Linked DNA regions of Tribolium castaneum. The protein of the gene in region 1 interacts with the protein of each later gene in a pairwise test. Links are inferred from orthologs where the notes say so. Each region holds a gene or a part of one and is shown in the gene's direction. Other genes may lie near its edges. The genes, in order: Smurf and fu.

The links.
Region 2: the proteins of Smurf (region 1) and fu interact in binary tests that used the Drosophila melanogaster proteins (3 or more experiments, as listed by UniProt). The link is inferred for Tribolium castaneum from reciprocal best matches to the Drosophila melanogaster genes Smurf and fu.

What each region holds. Positions count from the first base shown.
Region 1 is NC_087399.1:1,655,105-1,664,579, reverse strand, and holds the start of Smurf (E3 ubiquitin-protein ligase SMURF2), read left to right. Parts: upstream 1-3,101; 5' UTR 3,102-3,204; coding exon 3,205-3,259; intron 3,260-3,391; coding exon 3,392-3,430; intron 3,431-3,486; coding exon 3,487-3,729; intron 3,730-6,445; coding exon 6,446-6,804; intron 6,805-6,851; coding exon 6,852-7,269; intron 7,270-7,325; coding exon 7,326-7,495; intron 7,496-7,547; coding exon 7,548-8,362; intron 8,363-8,485; coding exon 8,486-9,131; 3' UTR 9,132-9,475. Other genes in the region: hexosaminidase D, read left to right, coding at 1-334, 386-553, 608-694, 744-942; probable DNA double-strand break repair Rad50 ATPase, read left to right, coding at 1,151-1,906, 1,961-2,140, 2,193-2,422, 2,469-2,874. UniProt on the Drosophila melanogaster protein: E3 ubiquitin-protein ligase which accepts ubiquitin from an E2 ubiquitin-conjugating enzyme in the form of a thioester and then directly transfers the ubiquitin to targeted substrates.
Region 2 is NC_087395.1:1,157,946-1,167,420, reverse strand, and holds the start of fu (serine/threonine-protein kinase fused), read left to right. Parts: upstream 1-3,731; coding exon 3,732-3,899; intron 3,900-3,947; coding exon 3,948-4,061; intron 4,062-9,475. Other genes in the region: centriolar and ciliogenesis-associated protein HYLS1, read right to left, coding at 2,734-2,906, 2,955-3,296, 3,348-3,501. UniProt on the Drosophila melanogaster protein: Probable serine/threonine-protein kinase; maternally required for correct patterning in the posterior part of each embryonic metamere. May be involved in control of cell division during metamorphosis and ovarian development. May interact with costal-2.

The sequences.
Region 1 (9,475 bases):
ATTCGGCCGAAACGTTCAATTTGGGCGCCCCTTTGTGGGAGAAGTACAGTAACGTATTCACAAATATTTGGGCCGCGTCCGCATTCAAGGGCGCCACTTCCAGCTGTCAGATCCTTCCAATCAATAAATTCCACGTGAGCAATCACGAAGCCTGGCTTTCTGAGCTGGGACAACACGCCGGAAAAATTTTGAATTTTAAAGGAATCGCTTTTACCGGCTGGTCACGCTACGACCATTACGCGACTCTATGCGAGTTGTTACCGACAGCAGTGCCATCTTTGAGTCTTTGTCTTAAGACGTGGCTTAATGGGGGCTATAATCAGGAGTTGCACAAGTATTTTTCCCAAAAAAAAATTTGGAAGTTTGTTTGAGTTGTGTGTTTTAGTTCGGTTGGGAAAATGCTGGGTTATAACGAAAACACTCCGAATTTCGGGAGTTCTCTAAGGACGCCAGTGTTGCCAACTTTGAGTTTTCCAGGATGGCAGGTGTTCGTGGGGCTTGAGTGGTTTGTTAACCTGCGCGGCAAGTACAGGAATATTGTGGACAGCGACCAGTAAGTAATTAAATTTGGCGCGTTCGGGGCGTTTGCTGATTGGTTGGCTTGAAGGATGCACTCGTGGTTTAACCAATGGCAGGTCTTGAACAACTACACCAATCCGATGCAAGTTGACACCATCCTGCCGGTTATAACCGAGTAATAGCTTCGGTTTTTGTTGTTACAAAAGATAATACTTTTTTTTCAGCTTGTTGAACGAACTTATGTCACTCGAAACGTACCTGAAGACGCACCTTGAGCCGATTTTTTACCAACACACCATTGAGGAATTGATGGGCACGCTGGTCGACCCAATCAAGAAGCACTTGAAACAAGTGAAGAGCGACTGCGAGACGCAATTGTCTTTGGGGTGCCGCGTCCGCGGCCAGAGACGATTGAATATTTAAATTCCCACTAATTGTGATACTTAGATAAGCTCTATTTTTCTGTATGTTGTAAGCACTTGCTTCGAAATAAAGTTTTTATATTTTTGTCCGCCTTTTTATTTCAATCAAGTCATTACGAGTCACTCAAATTAAAAGTGTCAGAATGTCTCGTTAATTAGGCGAATGCCTAAGTCAATATTTTTGTTGGTTTACACGCAAAACAAGCGACATGAATGATGACGTACAAAGTGAATTGTTAGATAATGAGTTTCGTCAAATTCTCCTCGCCATCAAGCCCCACATCAACCACATCGACAACCATTACCACCTAGAACGGTACAGGGTGTGGCTGGAGCGCTTAAGCAACGCCCATTGCACCGAACGGGCGGAGCGCAACAAGTACCTACTCGAGCTGGCCAATCAGATCCACGACAACGTGCTAGAACCGCCCTTCACGTACAACCCGCCCCGTGGGCTCCTCCCACGAATAAAAACCTTCCAGCGCTTGCAAATCGACCCAGCGCAAATTTCCGACAAGTTTTTCCAAAACGACCAAAACCAATGGCCCTTTATTGTCGCATCACAATCTAACCGCAACTTAAATAAAAATAAAAACAACACCTGGCCGCAAAAAAAGAACAAACCGATCAAAACGAAATTAATGCGGCCGTTCCAAAAACTGGGGTCCGTGGGACAAGGGGAGGAAAAACAGTCAGAAACGAGCGGCTCATGGTACGATTTGGCCGAAACCACGTCCGAAACGCACGCATGTGGCGACAAAGACCAGGAGGACGATGGGAATAACAAATTAGGGACGCAACACTTGATGGAAGGCTTGAAAACCAAAGAAGAGTTTGCCAAAAAATACGAGCAAGAGAAATGTAAAGGGGGTGGTAGTTTCAATTCTGAGAAATTTCTAGCTGAGGAAAGCTCTAACCGCAAGCCCACGGCCCAGGAACTAGAAGCGCTTAAGATGAGAATGAAGGTGTCAAAAAAAAGGTCAATTATGTGATTTTATTTGGGTTTAAACCAATTTCAGGATTTGCTTGAGGTCAAGAACGCGCTCAGAGACACGCACTGTCTGACGCAAGACAGGAAAAAGACACTCGAGACGCTCCAAGTGAAATTATCGGAGGCGGAGCGAGAAAAGGCGGAGCTACAGGTGATACTAGACTCGCAGAAAAAAAAGTTTGTGGAGTTGGACAAAATCAAGAGTAAAGTGGGGGCCAACAAAACCAAATAAACAAGTGGCGTTATTGCGTTTTTTGCAGGAAATGAACGAATTCAAGGAAAAGTTTGCCCACTTGAGGCAGAAAGAGGTCGACTATTTGAAAAAGTACCACAAGGACGAAGTGGCAAGTTTGGAAAAGTCGTACAGTTGCAAAATTAGGGAATTGGAGGCGAGGATTGATAGTTTGAGGGAGGAGTACGAGGCGAAAATTAAAACTCTGAGTGATTCAAACATGAGTTTATTACAAGAGAAGGAGCAAAGAATACACGAGTGGGTGTAAAGTAACACACTAATTTTTTATTGTAGTTTTTTCTAGACTTCAGAGCGAGTTGAAGATTAGGGAGAGCCAACAAACGAACCAGGCAAATTCTGAGCAAATTTTAAACCTGAAAAAGTGTCTCTCGAGACTGGACAAAGTCCTGCACCGGAACGAAAAAGACTACTCGAAGAAAATCGAAAAGTTGAAGGAAGAGCTTGACTTGAAGGAAGTGACAAGTCAGGTGCAACTCCAGGCCCAGAAGGCCGATCTAATCGTGCGAACCTCGGCCGCAAAACAGGAAGAACTGAGAAACGCGCTAAACAGCCTCGAAAGCAAGTACAAGAAAATGGTCGAGACGGTCCAGACGGCAGCTTTGGAGGCGAAAAAACGGGACGAGAAAATGATCGACGAGCTAAGGGGGCTGCTGCAGAAGCACAACATCCAGATTGCGTACACTGTGTAATTGTCTGAATAAATTGATTTCAAGTGTTTGCTGCGAATCCACGAAAAACCCACACAGGAAAAAACGCACTGAGAAAAAAATCTCATGTTGAAACCACCTGACAGAACACGGGACGATTTTTTTGAGTTCTTTTGTATGTTTTTTTGGAAAGTGAGTATTTTCCTGTGTGAGTTTTTTTCCACGTGGCCTTTTTTGTGGCCTTTTTTCTGTGGGAAAAAAATATTCGTATTCGGCGCCCATTTTGGTAGATGTCGCTCGCGTCGCCCCGTTCGAAAATGGCGTTGTGTGTGAAAAGTGAGTGATGTGTTGACAAAAACCAGCAATTTGAAAATGTCCAACGCCCCCACGAGTCGTCGAAATGGTGCCCAAAAAATCCGACTGACGAGTGAGTAAAAACCGTGCCCTTTTCCCAGTTTTAGCGTCCCCAAGAACCGCATTGTCCAACTGTCAAACAATATGGCCTCATTGGGGACCTCCCAAGTTTACAAAATTGTGATGTAACCGCTCTTTTTTGCAGTTCTTTGTGCGAGGAATTTGGTCCGGAAGGATTTGTTCCGTAAGTTGGTGCAAGGGTGTGCCCGGGCGCGGGTTTTTTGACGGTTTTTTTCGCAGGCCTTCCCGACCCTTTTGCGAAGATTTCGGTGGACGGTAGTGGACAGTGCCACTCCACCGAGTTCGTTAAAAACACGTTGGAGCCCAAGTGGAACTCGCACTACGACCTGTACATCGGGCGCAATGATTCCATCACGATCTCGGTGTGGAACCACCGCAAAGTCATCAAGAAGCAGGGCAGCGGGTTCCTGGGCTGCGTCCGGATTGTTAATTCGCACATCCAGAGGCTGAGGGACACCGGATGTGAGTACCCGAGTGATAAGACGGAGTTTTCGAATTTCGTTCAATTATCTTGAGTGTGCACTCATTGTAGTTTTCTTCAACATCTGTTGTCACAACCCATTAAAGATAATTCCAGCCGGCGATTCTAAATTAAAATTTAATTGGGAAAGTATTGTCGACGCCGCATTGGCTTAATTATTGCTATTATTCCCAACAAAGCCGAACTTTTCTCCCGACTCAAGGTAAAACTGCGATTTAAATTATTAATAAAACGTGCATCGATTCGGTCGAGGTAAAACCTAGTTTCGTCGCAAAATCGATTGGAAAAAATCGACGTGTGGTTAGCGGGCCGTAACGACTCGATTTCCAACCAATGTCACACCGGAAAACCGTTTTAATAAAAATAAATTACTTTCGATTCGATGCGTGGCATTTAAATAACGGTTTCCGCAACCATTGTAGAAAAAATCATTTTTTTAAGACGGTTTTGTGTGACTTAAATGTGATGAATAATGTTTTATTTATTACACTGTTCGAAGTATGAAACTCGGGTTCTTGTCATCAACAGGAAGCGTGTAAATCGAGCCAATCAATCAATTTGAAATCCATATTAAGGCTGTGACGGTTTGTCGATATATGGGGTGGCCAATAAGTCATTAAAACAATTGGAAAGGTTAAGGATTAAGTGCGGAATATTGATTTTTTTATTAAGATTATTTGAAGCTTGCATTGTTAAAAAACATTTGATAAGCGAATTCTCGCTAAATTGTCGGCGGTTTGCGTTTCGTGTAATAATATCATTATCATACGTATTTCTACAAGCTTTGTCATCGTTGCATCGTAGTATCTATGTTATAATTTATCACACGCGACAGATGACATTTTCGATAAAGTTGTTTGCAAATCTGTTACTTTATTTAGGCCAAATTGTATTTTTAGAAGTAACAAATGTTGTTCATTTAAATAGTTAAATAATCAACAACAGGTGGCTTAATATTAGCTACAAGCTGCGATTTGAACGCGTCTCAAAATTTTTTGTAAAGTAATTAGGTTTAACCGTAAAGTATGCGCTTGTATTAGGAAGTTTAAGACAAATTAAGGTCGTCAGTAAACCGATTTTTTTAATTTTTAATTGATTTTTTTTCAAATGCAGCGTTTCAACTTTTAATTAGCCTGTGGCCTAGGTTTTTTTGCAAACATTTCATGGACCAATCGGGTTAAAAAATCAATTATTGTGTTTGAAATTAATTTGGATTTTTAAAAATTAATAATCAGTCAGTTTATGGATGTATGAATTATTTGTCATTTATATTAATGTTTTTATTGTTATTATGTTTGTTTATATTACATATTCTTTTTTTTAACTTTTTGGTTTGTTTTGGCTGAAATTACGCAAGTACATGACAAACAAATAATTAAACAAGAAACCTCTTTTGATGTCATAATTGTGCATTCGCATATTTTTTTATGTTCTTTTATTTTTTTAATTCAGGTGTGTGTAGATTTCGTTTACTTTTTTTTAATTCGTGTTTTGTTTTGGCTCGTAAATGGTGTACAGTCACCCAAAATGAAAATGACGCGTCCATAAAAGACACGCCTACTCATTTATTTTACAAGATTTGATCAAAAAACGTCTAAAATCCGCAAAATAAGTCTAAATTGGGGGTGTTTTTAGAAACCGGTTTCAAAATCATAAAAATAAAATAAATCTGATGTAACTTTTGTTCCAACTCGTTGGTTTTTGGGTAAAATTTCGTCAAGTATAGACTGAAAAATGATAAAATTTGGTCAAAAAATGAGTTATTCTTACTTTTTTAAAGCCTTTAAACACGTTTTTTATTTTATTGCCAAAATAAACCGAGCCGAAAAAACACAAAAACTGAAATTTAATGAAAAAATATTTTTCAATTTTTGATTTCTTTTATGCAAAAACATTATTACAGAAAAATTGTCAAAAATAAGGTAGACAATTGTTGAAAAATTTAATTAATCCTCAATTTTGTTCATTAATTTTGAATGGAATCTTAAGCAAAATGTCTTATTTAGCGATTTTTCAGCTTGTCTAGAAGGTATTTTTTGAAGGGAAGGCATTTATAATATGACAAATAATAATAAAATAATAAACGTCTGTAAATAATTGTGTTTTTTTATGTTTCTTTACCCTTTTAATTCAGGTGTTAATTACGTTTACTTTTTTATTTGTTATAATTGAGATTTTGGCTTGAAAACGACGCAATTTATTGGTATTATTTAGCGATTTTTCGTCTTGTCTCGAAGGCAATACAAATCAGAATTGATTTTGTTGCACGCCACCGGTTAATAAAGCATTGTTATGCATACTTTTATCTCTTGTTACGTCGTTTAAACTGTCAATATTATCAACACAAACAAGCAGAAGGAATTTTTCAGTAAAAAAATAATCACAACGACATACACTGTATCTCCGCCGTTTATAAAAATATGTTAATAATTTAAAAGATCGCAGTTTTGCGTGTCGTTTTCATGAATCATAATGAAACATTAATCCCACAATCTTAGCACGTGTATGTGTGTGTCACAAAATTATGTAACACACGGAAATCGATCTGATCCATTTCCGTTTCTAGTATCTTCTATTTTTAAAAAGCGAATTTTTCGCAGCATTTCCGTTCACTTTCACAGTACCGTAACCGTTATTTCTATTACTCAACCATATGTCGCATCATGTGTGCAGTACCGTAACGATTTTAATTTCCAGACCAATGTTTGGATCTGGGAAAAGCATGTCCGGCCGACAGCGAACCGGTCAAAGGTCAAATCATCATTTCGTTATTATCACGCGATGGCCCTTGTAGTGGTACACCTTTGGCCGTTGTTGGCCCCCAAGGCGAGTTACGGGGGCCAACTGATCGCGATTCTTCGCCCTCAAATAACGACGATTTACCGCCCGGCTGGGAGGAACGCCGAACGGAAAACGGAAGGCCCTACTACGTTAATCACATCACCAGGTCCACACAGTGGATTAAACCACAATCGACCAACAAAACAAGAAGACGCTCCACGCATCAAAACGATAATAATAACACTAATAACGAAAATACGATAGGGGGCACACAGGTATTGTAGTTATTTTTTTCGCGGTGTTTTTTAATTAATAAAGACAGATGGGTGTACAGGAAATTCTGAATAATAACACGGGGGAGACCCTCACCCCTAGTTCGAGTACATCGCCGGTTTCGCCAGTGGTCAGTCCACAAAAAACCACATCAACGCCTCAAACGACCGACAATCGAAACAATTTTATTACGCTATCGCCGACTTCGACGTCTGTTATTCCAGCGCCTAATAATATCAGTTGTAACGCACCGAATGGCGAAAATACGAACGTTGTGAGCCCACAAATGGGGCAAGGGCAAGGCCAAAGGGCTATCGTGCGCAGCGAAAGGCGGCAAAGGAGTGCAGAGGAGCGAAGGGATGGGAGCAGCAGGAGGAGGTCAGGGAGGAATAACAGGAATTCGGGAGGGACGACAGCCCAAGGGCCGGTTACACAGAACAGCAAGCTGGATTTGCCTCCCGGTTACGGTAACAACAACAGTAAAATTATTTCGTATTTTTCGTAATTTATTATTTTTTGGCAGAGTTGAGGACAACTCAGCAGGGACAGGTCTATTTCTACCACATCCCTACCGGCGTATCGACATGGCACGACCCCCGAATACCCAAAGACTTGGCCCCCTTGAGCCTGGCTTTGGACCATTTGGGCCCCCTTCCGCCTGGTTGGGAAATGCGCCAAACAGCCTCAGGCCGGGTACAACCCCAAATAAATAAATAAACAACAATTATATCATTCATTTCCACAGATTTATTTCGTTGATCACAACAACAGGACGACTCAATTCACCGACCCTCGCCTCAACACTCAAATACTCAACAATATTTTACGTCGGGCTAGCGCCACCTCAACCACGACGCCAACAACTAGAACTACCCCAACTACGACAACAGCAAGTACAACATCGCCTTCAACGTCAACAACAACCGTTACGACAACAACGACAACGACAGCAGTGCCTCAAAATCCGGCACCACTTTCACCGCCGCCTCGCACTCGGATTGTGGAGGAGTTGCCTCAAAGTCTACTCAACGATTGCGATCATTTACCGAAATATCGGCGGGATTTAGTTGCGAAATTGAAGACTTTACGAGCGGAATTAACGGCATTGCAGCCGCAAAGTGGTCATTGTAGACTTGAAGTTTCGCGTAATGAAGTGTTTGAAGAGAGTTATAGACTTATAATGAAAATGCGACCGAAAGATATGCGCAAAAGACTGATGGTGAAGTTTAAAGGGGAGGAGGGATTGGATTATGGGGGCGTGGCACGCGAGTGGTTGCATTTGTTGTCGCGGGAAATGTTAAACCCACAATATGGGTTGTTTCAATACAGTCGGGATGATCACTACACGTTACAAATTAATCCGGATTCGGCGGTAAATCCGGAACATTTGTCGTATTTTCATTTTGTTGGAAGGATTTTGGGGATTGCAGTGTTTCATAATCATCAGTTAGAGGGCGGGTTTACGTTGCCGTTTTATAAACAATTGCTTAATAAACCAATCACGTTGCAAGATATTGAAGGGGTGGATCCGGAACTACACCGGAGTCTCACGTGGATGTTGTAAGTATTTATTTGTTGCACAAATGTAGAATAAAGGAAGAAAAATAACGAAATGTTTGGACTATTGTAACGTTTTATTTTACGTAAATTGAGACAATAAAATAAACATTTTTCTCCCAACAGGGAAAACAACATCGACGGCGTCCTCGACACCACCTTCTCGGTGGAGAACAACAGTTTCGGAATCGTAAAAGTGCACGAATTGAAGCCAAGCGGCGCCACCATTCCAGTAACCGAAGACAACAAACGCGAATACGTCAAACTTTACGTAAATTATCGTTTTATGCGCGGAATTGAGCAACAATTCCTTGCGCTTCAGAAAGGTTTCACTGAACTTATTCCACCGTCACTACTTCGCCCGTTCGACGAACGCGAACTGGAACTAGTGATTAGTGGAATCGGTTCGATAGATATCGCCGATTGGCGAAGTCACACACGACTCAAACACTGCACACCTGAAACTCCCGTTGTTCAATGGTTTTGGCAAGTGGTGGAGTCGTACTCGGAGGAGATGAGGGCGAGGTTGTTGCAGTTCGTTACCGGGTCGTCCCGGGTGCCTTTGCAGGGGTTCAAGGCCCTGCAGGGGAGCACGGGGGCGGCGGGACCTCGGCTCTTCACTATACATTGTATAGATTGTTCACCGCAGAATTTGCCTAAAGCACACACTTGTTTTAATCGAATTGATATTCCTCCCTATGATAGTTATCAGACGTTGGCCGATAAGTTGACGCAGGCTGTGGAGGAGACGTGCGGGTTTGCCGTGGAGTGATAAGAAATCGTCCGCATATCATTTGGTCTTTTGCAAGACTGAAGAGTGCCTTGCTCTCACGGTTACGGTTCAAAAGTAAGTGCCTAAGCTAGTCATTTCACGCTCGTAGCTCGCTTCAAAACCAAATTCGCTTTCCGATTAAACCAACACTTTGCCTAAATGTGACATATTGGTGATAGAAAATGCCTAAGCGATGGCCAAAAAGTGCTTTAAATCAACAATAAAGATTCTATTGTAGCTGTTGTTAATTGATGATGTTTATCTCGGTAAAAAGACAAATCTATTTTTATGTAATTTCCTCGGAGGAATGGAGTATTTGTTTTGTGATTGTTTCTCTGTAAATA
Region 2 (9,475 bases), on another chromosome or scaffold:
TTCATTAATGTATCAAGTAATAATTAGATAACTAATGTAATTAGTCACAGTAGAACATACCAAAAAATTAATTACCATTTGACTATCAGATTCTATAGGTTAACAATTTATTTTATAAAAAAATAATTTTTTTGGAAAATTTTGAAAAACAATTTAAATTTTCTTTGCAAACCTGATATCATTTGAAAGCTTATCAAAAATGCTATCGATACATAGAAAAATCATGGTGTTCCATTTGAAAAAAAAAATGAGTTATTCAACTTTTTGCGTTTTGACACAGCCTGTATATTAACTAAAAGTCGACTATTTGCTAAAAGTACAAGGTATTCTAAGTTCTTCTGTTGCAAATTTATTGGAAAATACTCATAAGCGACTTCGCAGTGATTTTTCACTTTTTTATAACGAAAAGTTGAATAATTACGAAACGAAAAGAGTTATAGACCTATAATAGTTTACATAAAGTTACATTATTTTTTTGCGTAAAATTTAATTAAACCTTGAAATAATTAGAAATTTGTTTTTTCGTCACATTGCTATGAAATGAATAAAATTAACATTTAACTCTATCTCCCTATCATAACAGCGGTTTTAGATACCTAACAACCTTCAAAAATGAATATTAAAAAAAATGGAACAAGATAATTTAGTACCAGGCAAAACGTTTTTAATTATGTGACGGTTTTTACACATTTGTAAGGCTTAATATTGGCCTTATAACATTAATAACAAGAACTTAAAGGCAAAATATTTATACATGTGTCTCAGAATGGTAAAGAAATGATCCAACGGTAATTTGGCGTAATTTTAAATAAAAGAAATGTGTTTTAAAATTCCATTTTTTAACTTGAGGGCATTTAATTGAAAGACCACCTCCTAAAATATGTGCATTCTAAATTTCATAACAATCCGTTGACAAATAACTGAGATATTAAGCTCGAAAGTCTTAGCTGAGACACCCTGTATAGTATTAATATCAGCTTTTCATACGAATTTTTAGGAACACTCTTGACCATGTTTATATTTAGACACTTTTCAACTTACTTGAATAATGTTTGTATCCTGGAGTATGGAAGACAAGTCAGCCCCCCTGAAATTTATCACAAAAACGCACACGAGACAATCTCTAGCTATATAAATTGGAGAAGTAAAAGTAGACAATGTCAGTTTTTCGAATCTTGAGAGTGCAACTTTGAATTAATAGTTTTACGTTTTTTTTGAGGTTTATTGGAGAAATAAGTGAGGTTAGAGTGCCTCTAAACCATAGAGTAATAAAAATGTGGAGCGGGATTTGGGGCAAAGTCAGTTTTTCGAATCTTGAGAGTTTGTAACTATGAATTAATTGTTTTATGTTTGTTTGATTATGTTACGAATGCCCCGAATTTCGTATAATAATAAGTTTTTGGGCAATAATAATAATAATATGCCAAAAATAAGAATTGCTTAATTATTAATAATTATATATCCTCTTACAAATTCACATTTTGCATTATGTACTGTAAGTTTATATATAACTGTCACTCCATTTATATCATACAAAAAAAGTAAAATTAATAGTATATTAGGATACGAGTTTTATAAGACGCATTTTGTCGCACGCACAAATTTAGCGCACGACGAGCGCAGCGAGGAGTGCCATAATAGAGTAAGTGCGACAAAATTCCTTATAAACGAGATATCATACAGTATTTTTTCTACTGCGCACTTTTTGTACCAAAAAAATTAATTTCGAAATTTAGGGAATTAAAAAAAGATTAGAAAACGGTTTTCTTCAAATGGAATGACCATGTTTTTTCAATGGTAGTCAAAAGAACATCAATTTTTATGCAGACTTTTATTAACATCTTCTATATCTATCTCTTACAGTTAAAAACTGAATTTTAGCTCATTATTTTCATTTTTAATCAAGTAAACTTTCGATATGAAAAAATTGTGCTATTAATTAAAAAAAATGTTCGATTTGTTTACCATTTTCATTCAGGAAGTTCAAAATGCCATGCCAGACTGATTGAGTTACCTTACATAATTCACTAAGTTATAATAAACCATAATTAAATGTTAATAGTTTTACTGCTTGTTCGATAATAAACCAGCAAAAAACTAAAAAAAATATTGAAGTTTAACATTATTGTTGACCATTTTGCAAGGTCTACTTGATTAACTATCAAAATTATGAAGTAAAATCTCTTTTTTGTGATTTTGTTCAAAAACAGTAAGAGATAGGAAAGAAAAATTGATAGAGAAAATAAGAAAATAATAAATAACTAATAAAGACCAATAAAGAATAATGAAAGAATAAAAAATTGAAAAAAATGTGGCCGCAGAAGACAGTATTGAAAATAGAAAGAAAGGAAGATAAAAAACTATTAAAAAATAGAAAAATATTATACTCCATTAGATATTACGATACGCAAATCGCGTATCGTAATGACCTCAGTAGTTACACAACTTTTGACTCACTTGATTATATCCTTGAGTATGGAAGACAAGGCAGCCCCCTCGAAATTTATCATAAAAACAGTTGCGGGACAATTTCTAGATAAACAGGAGAAGCAAATGTCGTCAAAGTCGATTTTATAAATCTTGAAAGTTTTTTTTGTAATATTACCGCCATCGTTTTGTTTACATTTATTTAGAGGTTAGATTTTCTGCACGAAGTCATTTTCATTTAACACGACATGATTGTAACAATTTATTATAAAACTGGTCGTTTTAACGTAAAAATACACATAAAAATCAAGCTCTTGTCACTCTAGGTCCACTCATCATTTTTTCTCTAATAGCCCACCTCAAGTCGGTTCTGTTGTCTTCACCTGGAATTTTTTGTCGCTTCCAACACTTTTGATATTGGTGGTAGAGTGCGACAGGGTCACTCTTATTAATATTTGTTTGAATTCCCGGTCTTATGACTACAAGCTTAAACGTAAAAAAACTTACAAACACTTTAAAATACTTACAGGAACTTTTAGGTTTGCTAGAATTAATCATTTTTTTCCAAGGCACATCTTTAACGGGCACAAAGTCAAGCGTGTCTTCTTGACCCTTTTCAGGGGCTGTTTGTGCCTCCAACGTGTTTTCGTGACAATGGTGTTGTGGTCCTTTACTTGTCTTGATTTTTAACGAAATTACACTTTCTTTCTTTGAAACTGTTTTGGCTCTTGAAGAGTGAGTCCCTTGTGAATGTAAAACTAGAAACACATCATCTTTATTTTTTTCGTTTTCGTTCGGCACATCTGTTTCATTTCCAAGGCTTTGTTTGCTTCTCTTGCGTTCTTCATACTTTATCAATTTTTTCAAGTCTGAAAACCAAACTTTTGTTCAATTAAAGTAACAAAAAATGACTCACCAACCGTAAACAAATTCTTTCAATTGTTGTGGGTTAATGTTGTGATAACCCAAGTCATTTAAATACGCTAATACTTCCCTAGGGCTTATTTTTGTGGTCATTTTTAAGAAAAAAAATAAGAAAACGTTGAAACAAAACCTTAAATTTCTAGGCAACATACGAAAATCAAATTCCCTAAAAGTGGGGACATAAAATAAGTGTTACAAAACCTCGCAGTTGGTTAATTTCACAATAACGTTGATTTTATTAAACACTGCTAATCACAAAATCATTTTTATCAACAAAATTGGTATTTCTTTGCAAAAAATTGCTTTCCACCCAGTCAGTTACTTTCACGAGGGTTGGTGTCCCTGCCTGTCAGCGTGACAAACATCTGATTGTCAAAAAAATGTCACGCGGAAGTGTAAGTAAACAAAAACAATCCTCTCCAAGTGTAAAAAATGATATGGACAAGTATGAAGTTATTAAATTATTGGGCGAAGGATCGTTTGGACGAGTTTACAAAGCGAAAGTAATCGCAGATTCATCTTTTGTTGCCTTAAAAGTTATCTGTAAAGTGAGTTAAAAACTGAGGCTCGAACTCGTTCAAATTTATTTCATTTAGGGTCGAAGATCGAACAAGGAAATAATTGGTCTACGAAGGGAATGTGAAATTCAAAGACATTTGCATCATCCCAATATTATACAAATGCTTGATTCGTTTGAAACTCCAAATGAGGTGAGACAATTTTTCCCAAGTTCTTTTCGTTTTTTAAACAGATTTTCAATGTACCGTACAAATGTTAGGCAACCAACACCAAATCTGGTGATTTTCGTGTTAATTTGGTGAAAACTGTATAAACATTTTGTTTAGTGATTTTAGAAAAATGCTTTTTATACAAACAATCACATTTACAAAAATTTTGATTCACTGTTCAACGTCTGTTGTTATTTTTATTTAAGTATGATTTAACAAATTAAATGGGATAGTAGAGACAAGATGGAGTTTATTTTTTTTTTAATAAATAAAAAACCAATGTAAATTAGTCTGCTATCCCAGTAATGATTTAAATCATACTTAAATTTACAAAAATTGTAAAAAGTTGTGGTGACACCAGAAATCTAACAGTATTCCTCCAACATATGTTAAATTATTTTTATGTTTAATTATTTGTAGAATTTGTGTTCGCAATGAAATTACATTTTTTCATGTTATTTTTTATTATTTTTTCAGTTTTCTTTTATTTTCGTATCGTTTAACTGCTTGTCTCATAATTTTTTCTTTCTATCTTCGTTTAATTTTGTGTGTTTTCTTTTATGCCTTTTTTGCATTTTTTTATTTTGTTTTTTTTTAATTTTGTGGGTTTATTTCTCCTGCGACATTATTCTATTCGTTGCTTTAGCATTTCTTTTTCATATTACCATTGCTTTACTTTTTGTTTTTTTTTACCTTTTGCTATATTTCTTTCATATTATATTGTCTTCAGTTTATGGCTTCGTCTTTTGTAGTTTGTCGTTTGTGGTTTATTCTGTTCTTTTTTTTCTATTCTACCGAGTGCTCAAAAACCGACGCACCAACTTATTGGAATATGGTAGAGAATTGCTTACATATAACGGTAAAATTAGTAAAAAAATTCTTTGTATTAAAATTATTGATAAATAATTATATTAATTATATTATATATAATATATATATATATATATATTATAAATATATATATATATTATAAAAAATATATATAATTATAAATATTAATTATATTTAATTAGATGATATGTGGCAACGTTGTCTAACAGTGATGATCGCAATAGAACTTAATCAACAATAAAAATAAATTATTTTTGAAACGGTTTCCTAAGTAATAATTCCCAATGTTGACACATCTACAAATTGTGATTTTTTTGACGAATTTTATTTTTTTTAATTAAAAAATCTGCTAAAGTCTGATAGGAAATTTAAAAATAATTATTCATTGTTGTGTTAGGGAACGATTACTTAGTGTGAAACATAAAACTATTAAAAAATAATGAAAACTGAAGAAGTTTACAAAATAAGTTTGTAGCTCCATATTTTTTAAAATATGACATTAGGAATTTTTTCAAGATTTTTTCCGTGATCTACACATGCTTCTCAACAGCGTACCACTGAGTTGGTGCGCCAGTTTTTGAGCATCCTGTATAGTTCTATACAGTTTTATTCTATTCTATATAGTTTTTTCTTAATCATCCTTTTTTTACATTTTCAATAATGTTTTTTGAGGCCATCTTTTCCAATTTTTTATTTTTTTATTTAAAATTTAGATTTTTTGTCTTTATTGGTTATTCTTTATTTTCTTATTTTCTCTTTCAAGTAATTTCGTAAAACAATTTTTATTTCCTTGTACTGTTTTTTCCTTATTATTTTTGCCTATTATCTATTAATGATCTTGTTGCTAAATTAAATTGTTGTAATCAGTTGATCAGACGATCTAAAAATTTTTGTTTGAAACACCAAATAAAGAGAGACAATTTTTCCTTATATTTTACTAAGTTCTTTTCGTTTTTTAAACAAAGATTTTCAATATAGTGTATAAATGTTAGGCAACCAACACCAAATCTTGTGATTTTCGTGTTAATTTGATGAAAACTGTGCAAAAATTTTGTTTGGTGATTTTAGAAAAATGCTTTTTATACCAACAATCACATTTACAAAAAATTGTATTCACTGTTCAACGTCTGTTGTTATTTTTATTTAAGTATGATTTAATAAATTAAATGGGATAGCAGAGACAAGATGCAGTTAATTTTTTTATATAAATAAAAAATCAAAGTAAATTGCTCCTTGTCGGCTATTCTAGTAGTGAATCAAATTATCCTTAAATTTACAAAAATTGAAAAATAATGTTTGTGAATTACGCAGGACTGAGTTGTGGTGACACCAGAAATCTAACACAATTTGAAATCAGGAAACCAGTTACAATCTGAGTATTCCCCCAACATATTTAAAATTATTTTTATGTTTAATTATTTGTAGAATTTTTGTTCGCAATGAAGTTATTATTTTTTCAGTTTTCTTCTATTTTCGTATCGTTTGACTGCTTGTCTCACCATTTTTTTCCTTCTGTCTGTTAAGTGAAGGGGGCGCTGCTGTTGAAATTGGCGGGAAATGATGACGCGTGAGGCGCGTACGGGCAACGCCTAGTTAGTTGGAAGGACACTGTGGAAGTGTCAATGTCGTTGTTGAATCTAATTTGCTAATAAATTAGTTTTTGGGTGAATTCCGAGTTTCATTTACAGAGCAGCGGTAGGATATTGCTCAAATAATCGTTTCCGATAGAGAGTGGTGAATTGTGGTGATTTTGTGAGGAATTTGTGGGTCGCCAAGGCAAGGGCCAAAAATTGAAGTTTTGGGAATCTGTACCGTTTCATTCGTAACAAAATTGTGTTTTACTACTTGAAATCGAACAAATCAATCGGGTGCTAGCCGAATTTATCTGATTTTTCTGATTTCTGACGAGTTCTAGGAGTTACGCAACCACACGCTGTCAATTTTCATTTGGGTGTGGCTCAAAAGGCGCGAAAAGTTTTCTGATGAGATTTTCGCAATGGGGCGTCACAGGTACCGAGGAAATGTGGACTCGGACGACTCGGACTCAAGTGACGATGAGCCACGGCCGAAAAGGTCCGCGCCTGGGGTCTCCACTACAGTAAATTCACCCCCAGTTTCGGCCGAGTCCGCTAGAATCGCGAGACTTGAGCAACTTGTGGAAAACTTGAATCGACGTTTGCTAAACCGCAATTTTGAGCACACATCAGGACAAGTTGGCATTAAAAGTGACCTGATTCCTGAATTCGCTCCAGGAAACCCCAATTTTAGTACCACTAAGTGGTTGCATAAAATTGACCAGTTGGCTCTCGTGAACGGTTGGGACGAACGTACAACGATTTACGGCATGATAAGTCGACTCAAGGGGTTGGCCAAGGAGTGGTACGACAATCTCGATCCCTCAGCATACGACCGGAGCTGGGATGAATGGAAACGTTTGTTACAAGCCACCTTCCCCGATCACCACGATTATGCTTCCACACTTCGTAAGCTAGTGAATAGGGTGAAGGAAGATGGTGAAACCTGGGCACAATATTATTTTGGGAAATTAAATCTGTTGCAGGCTTGTGACATAACAGGAACGAATGCAGTCTCCTGTCTTATTGATGGAATCACTGACGTGACTCTCAGAAATGGGGCTAGAGCAGGGCGTTACGTTACACCCGAAAGCTTGTACGCTGAGTATTTGTCGACTCTGAGATCCGAAGGTGACAAGCGGGATACGCTCGCAAAGCAGGCGCCTCGGGAAAGGAGGAGGTTCCTTCCAAGTCGAGTCGAAACACAAAAACTGTATTCGTCAGTTCGGTGTTACAATTGTCGTAATCGAGGACATGTTGCGACAAAGTGCCCGAAACCAAGAATTGAGTGCAAGAAATGTGGTCGCATTGGACATGTGGATGCTGAGTGCCGACGTGGTAACGTAGTAAAAGAAAACATGTCTAAGCAGGCACTAACGACAAGTGTAGCTGACGCAAGTAATAATAAGAATTATTACATAGACATTAAGGTTAATGGTAAGCCGACGCGAGCTTACATTGACTCAGGAGCTGAACCGGTCCTTGTCAAGCAAAGTGTTGCTAGAGAATTGGGACTGATGTGGCAGCCAAGTTTACATTTGATTCGTGGTTATGGCCAGGGAATCACCAAAGTGCATGGGGAAGTCGAAGTAGAGCTAGAAGTGGATCTTGTCAAGGCAAACGTAAAAGCTTTGATCGTCGAAGACAGTGCACAACGTGTGCCTGTCATAGTGGGACAGACCTTCCTGAATGCGGGTGCTAATACGATTATAGCAAATGAGGAAGCTGTGAGAGTAGTTGACGGAAACAACGAATCGATCCAAGCATTTCTAGGCCAACTTCCGACACGAAAAGTTGCACTTTGGGCGGAAGAGGAAACAGTGATCCCTCCTCAATCCATTGGTTGCATACGAATCAAGGCAAAAGACGATGGGTGGAAAGGAGCTTATTACGTTGAAGGGTGTCAACGTCCGAGACCAGGGTTCGAACACGTTGTTCATCGGTGTGTCACATGTGATGGAGGCCTAGTGACCGTTCGCAATCTATCGCACCAAGATCTGGTCTATCGAAAGGCGCAAATCGTTGCGAGAGCTGAGCCTTGCGAGCAGGAAAGGACAGCTACGACGGTGAGTGTGTTTTCTGTGGGGAAGGTTGAGGTAAAGAGTTTTCAACGGTGGGAACTTCTTACACAAGTCAATAAGAATCTAGACCCGGCTCAGTTCGAGCAATTGTTACAACTCGTTAACGAATTTCGAGATTGTTTTGCACGAAATGTAGCGGAAATAGGTGCCACAACTGCGGCAGAAATGAAGCTAACTTTGACTGATGATAAACCTGTAATTTATCGTCCTTATCGGTTATCGCATCACGAAAGAAGAATTGTTCGAGACATAGTAAATGACTTGTTAGGTAGCGGAGTCATACGAGAATCAGACTCGCCATATTCGAGTCCCATACTGTTGGTGCGGAAGAAAGATGGGCAACACCGTATGTGTGTTGATTATCGACAATTAAATTCGAAAACAATCAAAGATCGCTTTCCGTTACCACGAGTAGATGAACATTTGGATAAACTAAAAGGTGCAAAGTTTTTCACCACACTAGATCTCGCGAGTGGGTACTATCAGATCCCAATGGCCACCGAATCGATTCCAAAGACAGCATTTGTTACGCCTGATGGGCATTACGAGTTTGTCCGCATGCCTTTTGGTCTAGCCAACGCTCCGGCAGTGTTTCAGCGAGCTATGAATAAGGTGTTGGGTCCATTACGGTTTCAGACCGCTTTTTGTTACATAGATGATCTTCTGATACCTTCCAAAGACTTTGAAACAGGTCTTAACAATTTACGAACGGTGTTTCAATTGCTTCGACAGTTCGGATTGACTCTAAAGCTGAGTAAATGTTGCTTCTTTGGAAGTCAAATAGAGTATTTAGGGCATGAGATCAGTGCGGAAGGCATTAAGCCAGGCGAGACAAAAATCAAAGCGGTGACAGCTTTTCCCAAACCAACAGACGTACACAAACTTAGGCAATTCTTAGGTTTGTGTGGGT